Linked DNA regions of Mus musculus: region 1 is reported to be linked to region 2. Evidence: microRNA targets listed by miRTarBase, many of them from high-throughput screens and not tested one by one. Region 2 holds a microRNA gene; the other region holds the end of a gene's coding sequence.

Region 1 (4,470 bases), not on the chromosome of region 2:
ACTGAAGGAGCTAGGGTATCAAGGATTGGTGGCTAACTTTTACCATGTGTTTAGAACTGAACCTTACATGGCTTTAAAGACTTCTTCATCTTACCACAGAATAGAATAGGTGGTCAGGTAACTTGTGGACCCTACAACTAGGCTGAGGGACAGGATCTCGGGCAGTTGTCCTCAATGGCAGTTCCCAAATGCAATCAGAGGCTTTTTCTACTTTCTTCAACAGAGATGGAATCCAACCCCAATCAGAATGAAATGAGTCTTCAGATTCCAAGTCCCTCAGAATCAGCATCCCAGCCACCTGCCTCACCCTCTGCCTGCACTGACCTGGACACTGCTGATGCCCCCCTCATCCAGTCTGATGAGGAGGAGGTACAGGTGGACACGGCCTTGGTCACATTACACACTGACAGAAAGTCCACCCCAGGTGTCAGTGATGACAGTGACCAGTGTGACTCAACTCAGGACATTTAAGTGACTTGTCAGCTGTGCGCAGAATCCTCCTGCAAAGCCAGGTGCTTAGAGGTTTTCAATTTTACACACTTGCTAATGGGATGTAAGAACCATTAGAGAAGCGCTCACAATAAAGCTTATGGAATAAACACTGTGCAGCTGGTGAGTATATGGGTCGTATAGAGGCCCCTGCCTTGACAGGTGCTTAGAGCTGATTGACCAAGAGTTCCTAAAGAAACACAGGTGTGGAGGTCTGCTGGAGAGGGCCTTGAAGGAAATAGGACCTAGGCCAGGCTATGTGGGCACCGTGCCCTACCATACTGGGAGGCAGAGTCTGTTAGCATAACCAATAGTGGTCAAATTGGGATCTGAAGAACTTAATTTTACCTAGCATCAGGTGACAACCTGGGAAAGAAACTTGCTTCCCCAAGGTCCCCAGGGCATGAGCTAGCCTAGTTGCAGCCCAGAGTGGTGAGCAGTGCCACGGACATGCCTCTGTAGCTCCGCTCCCTGGCCTAAGAGAGGATGTGTAGCCCCTGCCCCACTGACCAAAGAAAGCCCAATCCCTTCCCACAAGACAGACAAAATGTCCAAAAAACTTTTTATTATTAAACCTTGTAGTACAAACCTGAAAAGTAAACAAAGAACTGGCAATAACCACACAGAGCCTCCCGGCAGGAGGGGTGCAGAGCAGCGCTAATAAATTAAATGTCGAACTGTAAGCCATAGGCGAAAGGTTACCGACAAAGAGGGGAAAGTCCACAGCAAGGCCATAGAAACTGGACGACCACATTGGAAACACTCGACTGTCAGGCAATCGTTAAATAGTCCAAAGCAGTTTAGTCTTCTGCAACAACAGCCACCAAAGTGGATCCTAGGCGTTCCTGGCAGTCACCACTGGCAAGCTCAGTGCAATGTGGGTAGCTATGGACTGATCCAATTATGAAACAAACAACAGCTTGTGAAAACAGTTTCCCTTTTTTATTCCACACATACTGTACACACAGCCGGAGAAGGGCAACAGCTACTCCACTACCACGTTCTGTTGCTGTTGAGTGATGTAAGCAGCACTTATACATGTCACAAGAGAACCCTGTAAGCATCCAATCAGCCGATGAAGAAACGGAAACGTAAGGCTTTTCTCCATCTTCTCACCCCTTCCCTCCCCCTCCAAGAAAAGGCTCAAGTATTTAAAACAATTTACAGGAGTATGTACAAAAGGGATGGGATTTTTTTTCTTTTTTTCTTTTTTGTTAAAACATGAAGAGAAAAAATAGACAAGAGGAGCACAGATGTGTTTCACATTCAAAAAGAACTGCAGACTTAGTGGCTCTAAGTGTGAGGGAAACAAAGATTAATGCTGATGTGAGGGACACAAGCAGAGATGGAGGTGGAATGTCGGGAAATTGCACATGGATGACAGGGAAGCACTTACAGTCAACTGCTGTTCCTTTTCCTCAAGGATGCTATTGAAGGGTTTTTTGTTTTTTTGTTTTTTGTTTTTTTGATAAAGTAGCCAACAGCACCAAAAAAAAATAACAGAATGGATTTCCTAATGAAATCAGGCACAGGTCTCCCTCAGTGACCCTCCAAGGCAGGCAGTCTTTGTCTTTGTCTCTCTCTCCCTCGAACGGATGCATAGTGATGTGCTGGTATGAGAACCTCGTCACTCAAACCTCACAGTTTGCCTTCAGCTGCCATAACCGCCCAGCCAAAGAAACAGGGCTCTCCGGTTCCAAAAGTTACAAACTCCCTTCGCACATGACAGAAGAAAAGACAGCCAAAGTAAAGCCATTTCAAGTTTTCTTTTTTCTGTGTGTGTGTGTGTGTGTGTGTGTGTGTGTATCTTCTATCCCTTTTCCAATCTAGAAAAATCTCATCTGACTGATGGTTTTAAAATTTGTTCTCCAAACTTCACCATCTTCAAAAATGGGTTAAAAAGCCTTTATTCCTCAACAGTTACCAAACAAAACAGAACAAAAACAAACAAACAAAAAAAAAGGCATTTCACAGCCATGGGGCGATACAAATTAATACAGCCCCTCAAGGGTTTTAGACAGTGAGTGTACGGCAGCTTCCAAACCTGACTGCAGTATCTAGATATCTACGTACAAAAACTTGAACAGTTTAATGCTAAAACAAAATCAGTTCTCTAAAACCAGAAGAAATTCTTCTTTAGAGCTAGTGCAAAGACAGCTTGTATCCTACAGCAAGTACTCCAAACTAGAATATAGTAATTACAAAAAATATATAAGTGACCATGGGTTCGGCATCTTCATGAGGATGGGAGCCGAGATGGCGGCACATCCACGGTCGCTCTCTTGCGGGGACCTCTTTTTGGTGTGGGTTTGTTGAGACAGTTCTCGATGCCACCGTGTTTGCCAGACACTTTGCCACATATCTGGTTGACCAAACTGATGATCTGCTCCTGCCAGGACAGACAGACAACATTAAGTTAGTGCAGCAGAGGCACCAAATCCTATGACTTATCAGTGTGTGTCACTGGACATTAGCAGGCTTTCTAAATAGCTTTAGGATTCAGAGATGCAGAGGACTTGTGAACAGGACAGGGAGATACCTAAGGAAAGTCCTGTGGCTGCCGAGACTGCTGAGCACCGTGCATACCTCTCTGCCTTGTGGGCTCCCAGCAGCCACTAAAACTAACACCACCGCTGGGGGATCTGACACTTTTGGCCCCTAGTATGCTTGCATTCACATGTATATAACTCTCCATAAAGAACTCAAATGCCTGTCCTGCAAAAGAGAAACAGATGCCTCCACACTCGGAGGAAGACTGTCTCCTGAAACTGCTTCAGATAGTTGGAGGTAGGGTAGAAGCTGAGGCAGCAGGCCCTCTTTGAGAGCCAACATGACAAGAAAAATCCAGAAATTTAACAACAGCATCCAAATATGAGACATTACAGATTGAAGCTATGCTAAAGTTCTCCAGCATGTGACATCAGCAGCTCACATGACTCATTGTGTGTGACCTCTGCATTAGAGGGGGAAATGGGTCAGCTATATCCCTTTATTTCACCCAAGAGGACCGTGCAACTCTCTACTAAAAGGTATCCATAGCTGGGTGTGGTGGCACACACGTAGAATCACAGTTCTGCAGAGGTTCTAGCAGAACATATTTGGGAGCAGCCAGGGACACAAAGGAAGGATGTCTCAAAAACAAGAGAGCATAGGCAAGAACACCAGCAGTGAGGAATGGAGGCAGCCTGGACACAAGACTCCAGGTTCACACAGTCAAGTTCTGCCTCTAAAAAGCCTACAAACAGCTGAAGGATGTGACATAGTCCCCTGCCTCCTTAAAACAAGCTCCTTTGTGAAAGCCTTGCCTGTCTATCTTCAGGTCTGGGAGCCCTGCTCTTCCTGGGAGCTTCACAGTGCATAGGGGTGTGGGAGGAACAGGCCTGGAACCCCTTGTGTGTCTGTCATTGGGCTGCACAAGGAATGAAAAGGACTGAACTAAGAGCTTGTGTCTATCCTACCTTTCTCAGTCCACCCAGCTGAACACAATTGAGGGCTAGTGCTGACCCTTTACAACAGCAAGCCTCTGGCAGAGGGAGAGGCTGCTTCCAGATGTGCTCCTGTTCTTTCAGGACTTTGGTCCCAGTAAGATGTGGCTTCCTACCCCAGTGCTCAGTTTGTAGAATGCACTTTTAGAAGTCCTAATCATGTGCACAGATTTACACTCCCTGGCCCTGACCACTGCTGCCAACTCTGGGTCCTGGCTGGGGTCTTTGGAAGAAGCACATGGGACAGGATGCCAGATGGTAATTCCTACTCATTGCTGAGATTTAATTTTAATTAAGCACATTGTGACATTTACTGTTCATGTGACAAAGTAGGAACCAAAGAAGCTATGTTACTGCCATTGAACAAAAAGGACGCAAATAGACCTACGCTCTACTTTCCAAGGGAAAGATTCTGTTGGCCAAGTTAGGACTAAAACGCAGTGCTTGGGACCACATGGATGGCATGCTGCCTGCCCAGCCAGCTACAGAGCTGGGG
Region 2 (6,052 bases):
ACATATCAGTCTGGGTGGAGGGAAAGAGAGCTAGAGGCCAGCTGGATCTGGTGTGCTCTCTCTCTCTCTCTCTCTGTTTCTTCCCGAATCAGTGGCTTTAGATACACCATCGCATTATCTAAAACCTCCCTCCTTCCCTCCTCATCCTGCCTGCTCCCCCATCTTCTTAATTGGGGTCAATCTTTCCAAGTCTCTCAGCTCAAGGGAGGAAGTAGTATCTGCTGTAGCAGATGGTCCTACATTCTGGTGACATCCTAGCTTTCCAGGTATCCCTTGGAAACAATCTTGAGTTTGTAGCCTCCCAACAATATGAAAAGTTAGACTTAGAAAAAAAAATGTTTAAAAGGAAGTAAATAAATATTTTTTCCTCTGCTATTCATATAAATATTCTGAGATACAATAATAATAATAATAATAATAATAATAGCCTGAAAATACCCTGGGTGTGACCAGTTAGTTGAGAGCTGGCAGTGTGTGTGTGCCCTGTCAGCTGCAGGGTGATAGCTAGGATTTAATTGCCCTTCCTAAGATGCAGCTCAGTAGAGTGAGGTGAACTAGAGTCTTTCTATATACATGTCTCTGAGGACAAGACTCACAACAGCTTCCACGTTACCCAGGACCCAGTTGGACCGTGGACACTCAGGCTTCACCACAGACCTCCTGGCCTTATTTCCTGGGGGTTGGTGTGCACAATCAGCTCCAGGAGAGCCAATCAAGTCCTTGTGGATGTCATGTCTCAGTGTCCTCTTTATTAGGATGTCACAGGTAAATTCCTGTGGCTGGTGCCAAGACAAACTGCCTAGAACATTTTATTTGCTGGCTTGCTCTGATTAAAGTGGAGAACGCACTGCACTTTCTCGTTTGTGGTCACCTGCTAAATCTTTACCTTATTTCTGGTGTTGCCTAACACAGCGTCTCATACACAGCAGAAGAGAAAGAGTCACTAAATGAATGAATGAATCTATTTCCTATTTCCTTCGAAATTTGAGCCTCTGCACAGGCTGAGATGTACTGGCGTGCTTTGTGTTGTTGTTGGAGGTGGAATCTGGGGTCTTGTATATGCTGGGCAAGTGTTTCATCATTGAGCTATAACCCAAGAGCTAAAAAACTTGTTCCGGTGGCATTAGGGTAGCAGACAATTTTTGGGGAAATGAAGTTTGTTTCCAGAAGGCCTAGGGCTGTGGAATCCTGGGTATAATGGATGCTTAGAAGAGAAGAGATGACTTCAGGTCTCAAGGACTGAGGACATGTCCCTAGTTTTCAGTGACTGGCTTTTATACCACCAGAAGCTCTGCACACTCTGTACTGACCCTTTTCCTGTGAACTTCCCTGTGTAACATTTGTTCCTCTGTTTTATCAGCTGAATGATGGAACCTCACAGCCAAGAACTTTGAGAGGTCAAAAGGACCTGGCTGCTTCCTGCAGGTGGCAATGGCTTCCTTTCTTCTTCAGCCTTTAGACAGTTTGGATTTCAAATTATTCCATCACTTTCTAGAACATTCCAGATCCAAGCTCTCCTCTCCTATCACAGATGTATTCTGCAGCGCTGGGCCTCTCTACTGCATGTGGTTGTGGGAGAAGAAAGCCGCTGAGGTAGTTGAAGCCATGTTTAGCTTTTAGTTCTGTGAGGCAAGAGGGCCAGGACAGAGCATTTCCCCTTCCCTGTCAAGATATCAGCACCTGCTTGGGAAGCCAGAAGATGGAGGAGTAAAAAAGCTCCTGTTCCTCGGGGGCTTGCAGGTAAGGTCACGGCCAGTGCAGAGGTGCCAGTCTTCTCCTGCCCTATAAGGCTGCTGCTACCTGTGAAAGATCAGTGCAGTTGCTTACCTGTCACCTAGGCCAGATGGAGACACAGCCATCGGAGTCACAATTAGTAACACCTACTCACCATACACACACATGCACATGCACACATATACACATATATTCACATACTCACACACATGCACATGTACAAACATATACACACACATACTCACATGTACATGTACACACACACACACACACACACATATATATGTATATACACACCTGCACACACACACACACACACACACACACACACACACATATCAATAGAGAACATGCATATACACGTACATGCACTCATGCACATGCACACCCATGTGTATATGCACACACATACATACACATATACACATATGCATGCACACACACACATACACTTATTTCTATAGGAGGGTGTACATGAATGTATATCACATGCACACATGTATATGTGTGTGAATATAGGTGAATATACAGCCCCTCCCATCCTGGAAACTAGCACATTCATATAAGACACCATAATACAGCTTTTCAATATTTTCTTTTCTGTAAGAAAGTAGGGAATTGACTGAAGTCCAGGGCTGTTGCAGTTCAGAAGTTCGGCTCTTTATCTAAATGTGGCCCTGAGAGTTAGGCAGCAGATGGAGGTAACATGGCAGCTTCCAGGGCTTGGAGTCAATGACTTCAATGAACAAAAACAGACACTTTCTTTTACTCGCTCCATTGAGAACATGACCACACATTCCTGGCTCACAGGAGACCCCTAAATCTGGAGGCCACTCCACGATGTCTCCTCATCCTTAAAGTAGAAAGTGGGACTGCGGAATCTGTCATGTGCTCCATCTTGGGCCACTGATGGGGTCTGTGTGAGATGAGATCTGATTTGCCTCGGTTATTCTGGGATGCACATTGGCTACTCTGCCCACTTCATCCATTCTGAGCTACTACCAATCTCCATCCTTACAGGCAGCAGCCAATTTGAAACGTACAGTTGTATACTCCCACTTCAGGTTACTTTTGCCAACACATATTACCTTATGTTTATTTGAGTTAAGTTTCGTCTGCCTGCAGGCTGCACAATCCCCCAAAGTGTTCCGATGCACCTGGAATTTCTTGCAAATCTTCTCTGTTTTTATTAGCCACAACAGTTTGGAACTAGTTGAAACCTCTGGGAAGAGATTAGACAACAATTACTGCCCGTTGCTCATGTAATGTCTGGCCAGGTACATGAGCCAGCAGGCCTTGCTTGGCGGGGTGGGGGTGGGTGGGCATGATAGCATTTCTATCCACTGGTCTGTCTTTTGAACTCTCAACTCTGGACAGGTACCAGGGAGCCAGCCTATCCTTGGGGTGTATGTCTACACAGGGGCATAGAGCTGTCTTATTTACAGGTTTTAGAAGCTACTGCTCTGGAGCCAAGGGAATGTGTGTTATCAAGGCCCACTCTGTCTGGTCCCCTTGGATATTACAGAAAGAAGGGACAGAAGAAGAGAGCCGAGGGAGGGGAAGGAAGCTTGCAGCACTGCTCGCTATGCTGGGTTCTGTAAAATCAGGTGATTAGACATGGGAGGAGGAAGGACAGAAGTATCACCCTTCGGACTCCTCTGGAGAGGCTGAGACATCACCATGGTCACATCCTGGAATCTGGGAATGAGGACTGGTTGAGGCTGGAAGCCACTGTCCTCAAGACCAGGTAGGACATCAAGGACCAGTTCCACGAGCCAGGATGGAGGAGGTGAAGCGGGCTGCTGCTTGCGGAAAGCAGCTTCTGTGAGCAAGGCTGGTGTGTGGGCAGCAGCTTAGGCTGAACGGATCCCAGAGCGTTCCAGCGAGCTAATCTTGTCAGCCTCAAGCTGTTCCACAGACAGTGGGTGTGAATCCAAAGCCATCTTAGATGCTCAGCTCTCAAATGTTTCTTTTAAGAAAATAAAAAAAGAGAGATTGAAGGTACACCAGACCCAAATGGGCCAGTTACCTGGGAAGGTTAGACTTGTGAGCTGTGAAGTGCAAGTATGCAGATGTTAGAGACGATGGGATGAGATGTGTGTATGGGGGTGGATGTCTCTTCTCTGTCAGCTATATCCCTGGATGAGAGTGTCTGTCTCCTTCTGCCTCAAGGATACTGTATATATCTGCTCCACGTGTAGAAGCAGAAGTCAGTGGTATCCAGTCTCCAGCCCTGGACTCGTCTTCTCTCCTGTTGTCTCTGCTTTCATAGTCAGTTGACTGTGCCTGCTTAAACTGTGCACATATAGAAACTAAATCTTGAGGAAGGAGGAACCCTAGGAGAGTAATATAATCCTGATCCTGACTTCTAATTAATCTCTATGGGGAGAAAATATCTTATGTCTGTATGCATGTGGCAACTGTCAGTAATAAATTTGATGACCTATAACTTGGCAGGAAATAGGAGGTAGGACATCTGTGAGGTAGAAAGGATTCTGGGATAGTGCCAGGTGGGAGATACACTGGGGAAGATGTGACAAGACAGATACCTGGTACCTGAGCACAGGTAACCAGCTATGTGGCAAAATGTAGTTGAGCATAGGTGGGTTATTTTAAGTTCTGACCTAGTTAGAGAAGAGCCTAGCTGTATGGCCAAGGTATTGTAAACATATTTTGAGTCTGTGTCTTATTTCTGGGAGCATGGGAATGGGAGGAAGAACAACCTACCTTCTGTATCCCTACTCTACCATTAGTCTCCTGTCCCTCTGTCCTTCATCTTTCCATGGCTGCAGGGAAGACCTGATGCTCAAGATGAGAAATTAAAACCACTGTCCCGGGGGGTGGGGGGTGCGGGGTGTTACATGGACTGTAGTCTGGGTCAACCAGAGTCACACTTGAAAAGGGGAATCAGATCACACTGATTCACAGCAACACCTATGACCCCTTTAAATAATGAGTGGCGATTTCATGTTACTAGCATGCTGTGACAGAGCATCACAGATCACACGGCTTAAACATTAGGTATTTACTCATAATCTTGAAGGCTCAAAGTAACAGCACAAGTGTTGGCAGGGCTGCTGTCTCCCGAGGACTATGAGGAGGAATCTTTGAGGCCTCTCTTTTTGGCTTGTAGGTACCTGTCTTCTGAAGTCTTCACATGGGCTGCACATGTCTGGGTCCACATTTCTTCTTAATATAAGATTAGGGACTGCCCTAATGGCTCTATGCTGGTGTGTGTGTGTGTAATACGAGCAACCAACTCCTGGTTGATTCTTCCATTGTCAAGCTCCACAGAGAATTCAGAGTGCTCTTGGGTACAGCAACAGCAAACCTCTTCCTCCATCCTTCCCAGGTGCTTTGCAATTCTTTCTTGTGTCTTTACTACTATTGCTGTGTGCATGCATGTTTATGTGTGTGAGTGTAGGTGCCTATACACACAGTACATGTGTGGAGGTCAGAGGACAACCTCCACTCTCCATCTTCACTTTCTGCCTTGTCTAAGGTTTTCTTATTGTTTGCCAGAGTAGCTGCCTGTGAGCCTCTGGGATTCTCCTGTCTCTATTGCCTATCTTTGCAGAGGAACTCTGGGATTACAGATGTGTACTGATGTGTTAAACTTTATGTGGGTTCTGGGGAGTCAAACTCCAGACCCTACACTTGCAGGGCAGTTGTTTTAAATATTGAGCCATTTTCTCAGCCCTGCTATTATTTTTTTCATACGGGGTCTTATATTGTAGCCAAGGTTAGTCTAGAGCTCATTATATATGGAATCCAAGTTAATCTCAAACTCAGTCCTCTTGCCTCATTCTCCCAAGCACACTGGAATTACAGGTGTGAGTCACTACTCCTGTCTTGCATTCATTCTTACTACCCAGTTTCTGACTGCTCAGGATAGAGTTTTGGCAAAATGATACTCATTCTTCCAGTCAGTGGTTATCCAGAGACATAGTATTGGCTGAGCTGTCAGGAAGGAAATAGAAATGATTTTCCCTTAGGTATAGCAGGGTGGCCCCACTGGAGCCTGGAGAGATGTATGTTCTGTCATTTTGGAAGTACCTTAGGGGGCAAAAGCAAGTGGATTCTGGCCCAGGTATTATACCATCCCTGTGGAGTTGCCCAGAGACTCAGCCTGGGGACACCATCACAGGAGGAGACTGGGGACAAAATGTAAAATTAACAAGCTACCCTAGAGGGCCATGTGGTAGTTCAAATGAGAATGCCTCCAAAGGTTTACGTATTTGAGGGCTTGATTTGAAGTTGGTGGAGTTGTTTGGGAAGGATTAGGAGGTTGGCCTTGTTGGAGGATGTGTGTCCCTAG

Evidence for each region. The annotated mature microRNA mmu-miR-466i-5p reads UGUGUGUGUGUGUGUGUGUG and lies in region 2 at 1,993-2,012, opposite strand. An mRNA with a match to its seed (bases 2 to 7 or 8) in the 3' UTR can be bound and repressed. Matches are read on the target gene's strand: a 7mer-m8 pairs with bases 2 to 8, a 7mer-A1 pairs with bases 2 to 7 and ends in A, and an 8mer does both.
Region 1: miRTarBase lists Jarid2 as a target of mmu-miR-466i-5p. Seed matches in the 3' UTR shown: 7mer-A1 at 2,288-2,294, 8mer at 2,286-2,293, 8mer at 2,284-2,291, 8mer at 2,282-2,289, 8mer at 2,280-2,287, 8mer at 2,278-2,285 and 7 more.

Annotation. Positions count from the first base shown.
Region 1 is chr13:44,918,208-44,922,677 of GRCm38, reverse strand. Jarid2 (jumonji, AT rich interactive domain 2) reads right to left here. Exons shown (of 18, transcript NM_001205043.1): 18 at 1,035-2,878. The coding sequence ends at 2,726. Dtnbp1 (dystrobrevin binding protein 1) reads left to right here. Exons shown (of 10, transcript NM_025772.4): 10 at 224-599. The coding sequence ends at 471. Among named protein-coding and RNA genes, the nearest start is that of Dtnbp1, 82 kb to the left of the region's middle.
Region 2 is chr3:85,463,342-85,469,393 of GRCm38, reverse strand. It overlaps Mir466k (microRNA 466k), which reads right to left and starts at 2,017; the gene lies at 1,896-2,017. All of the region lies in intron 1 of Gm31419 (a long non-coding RNA gene), which reads left to right.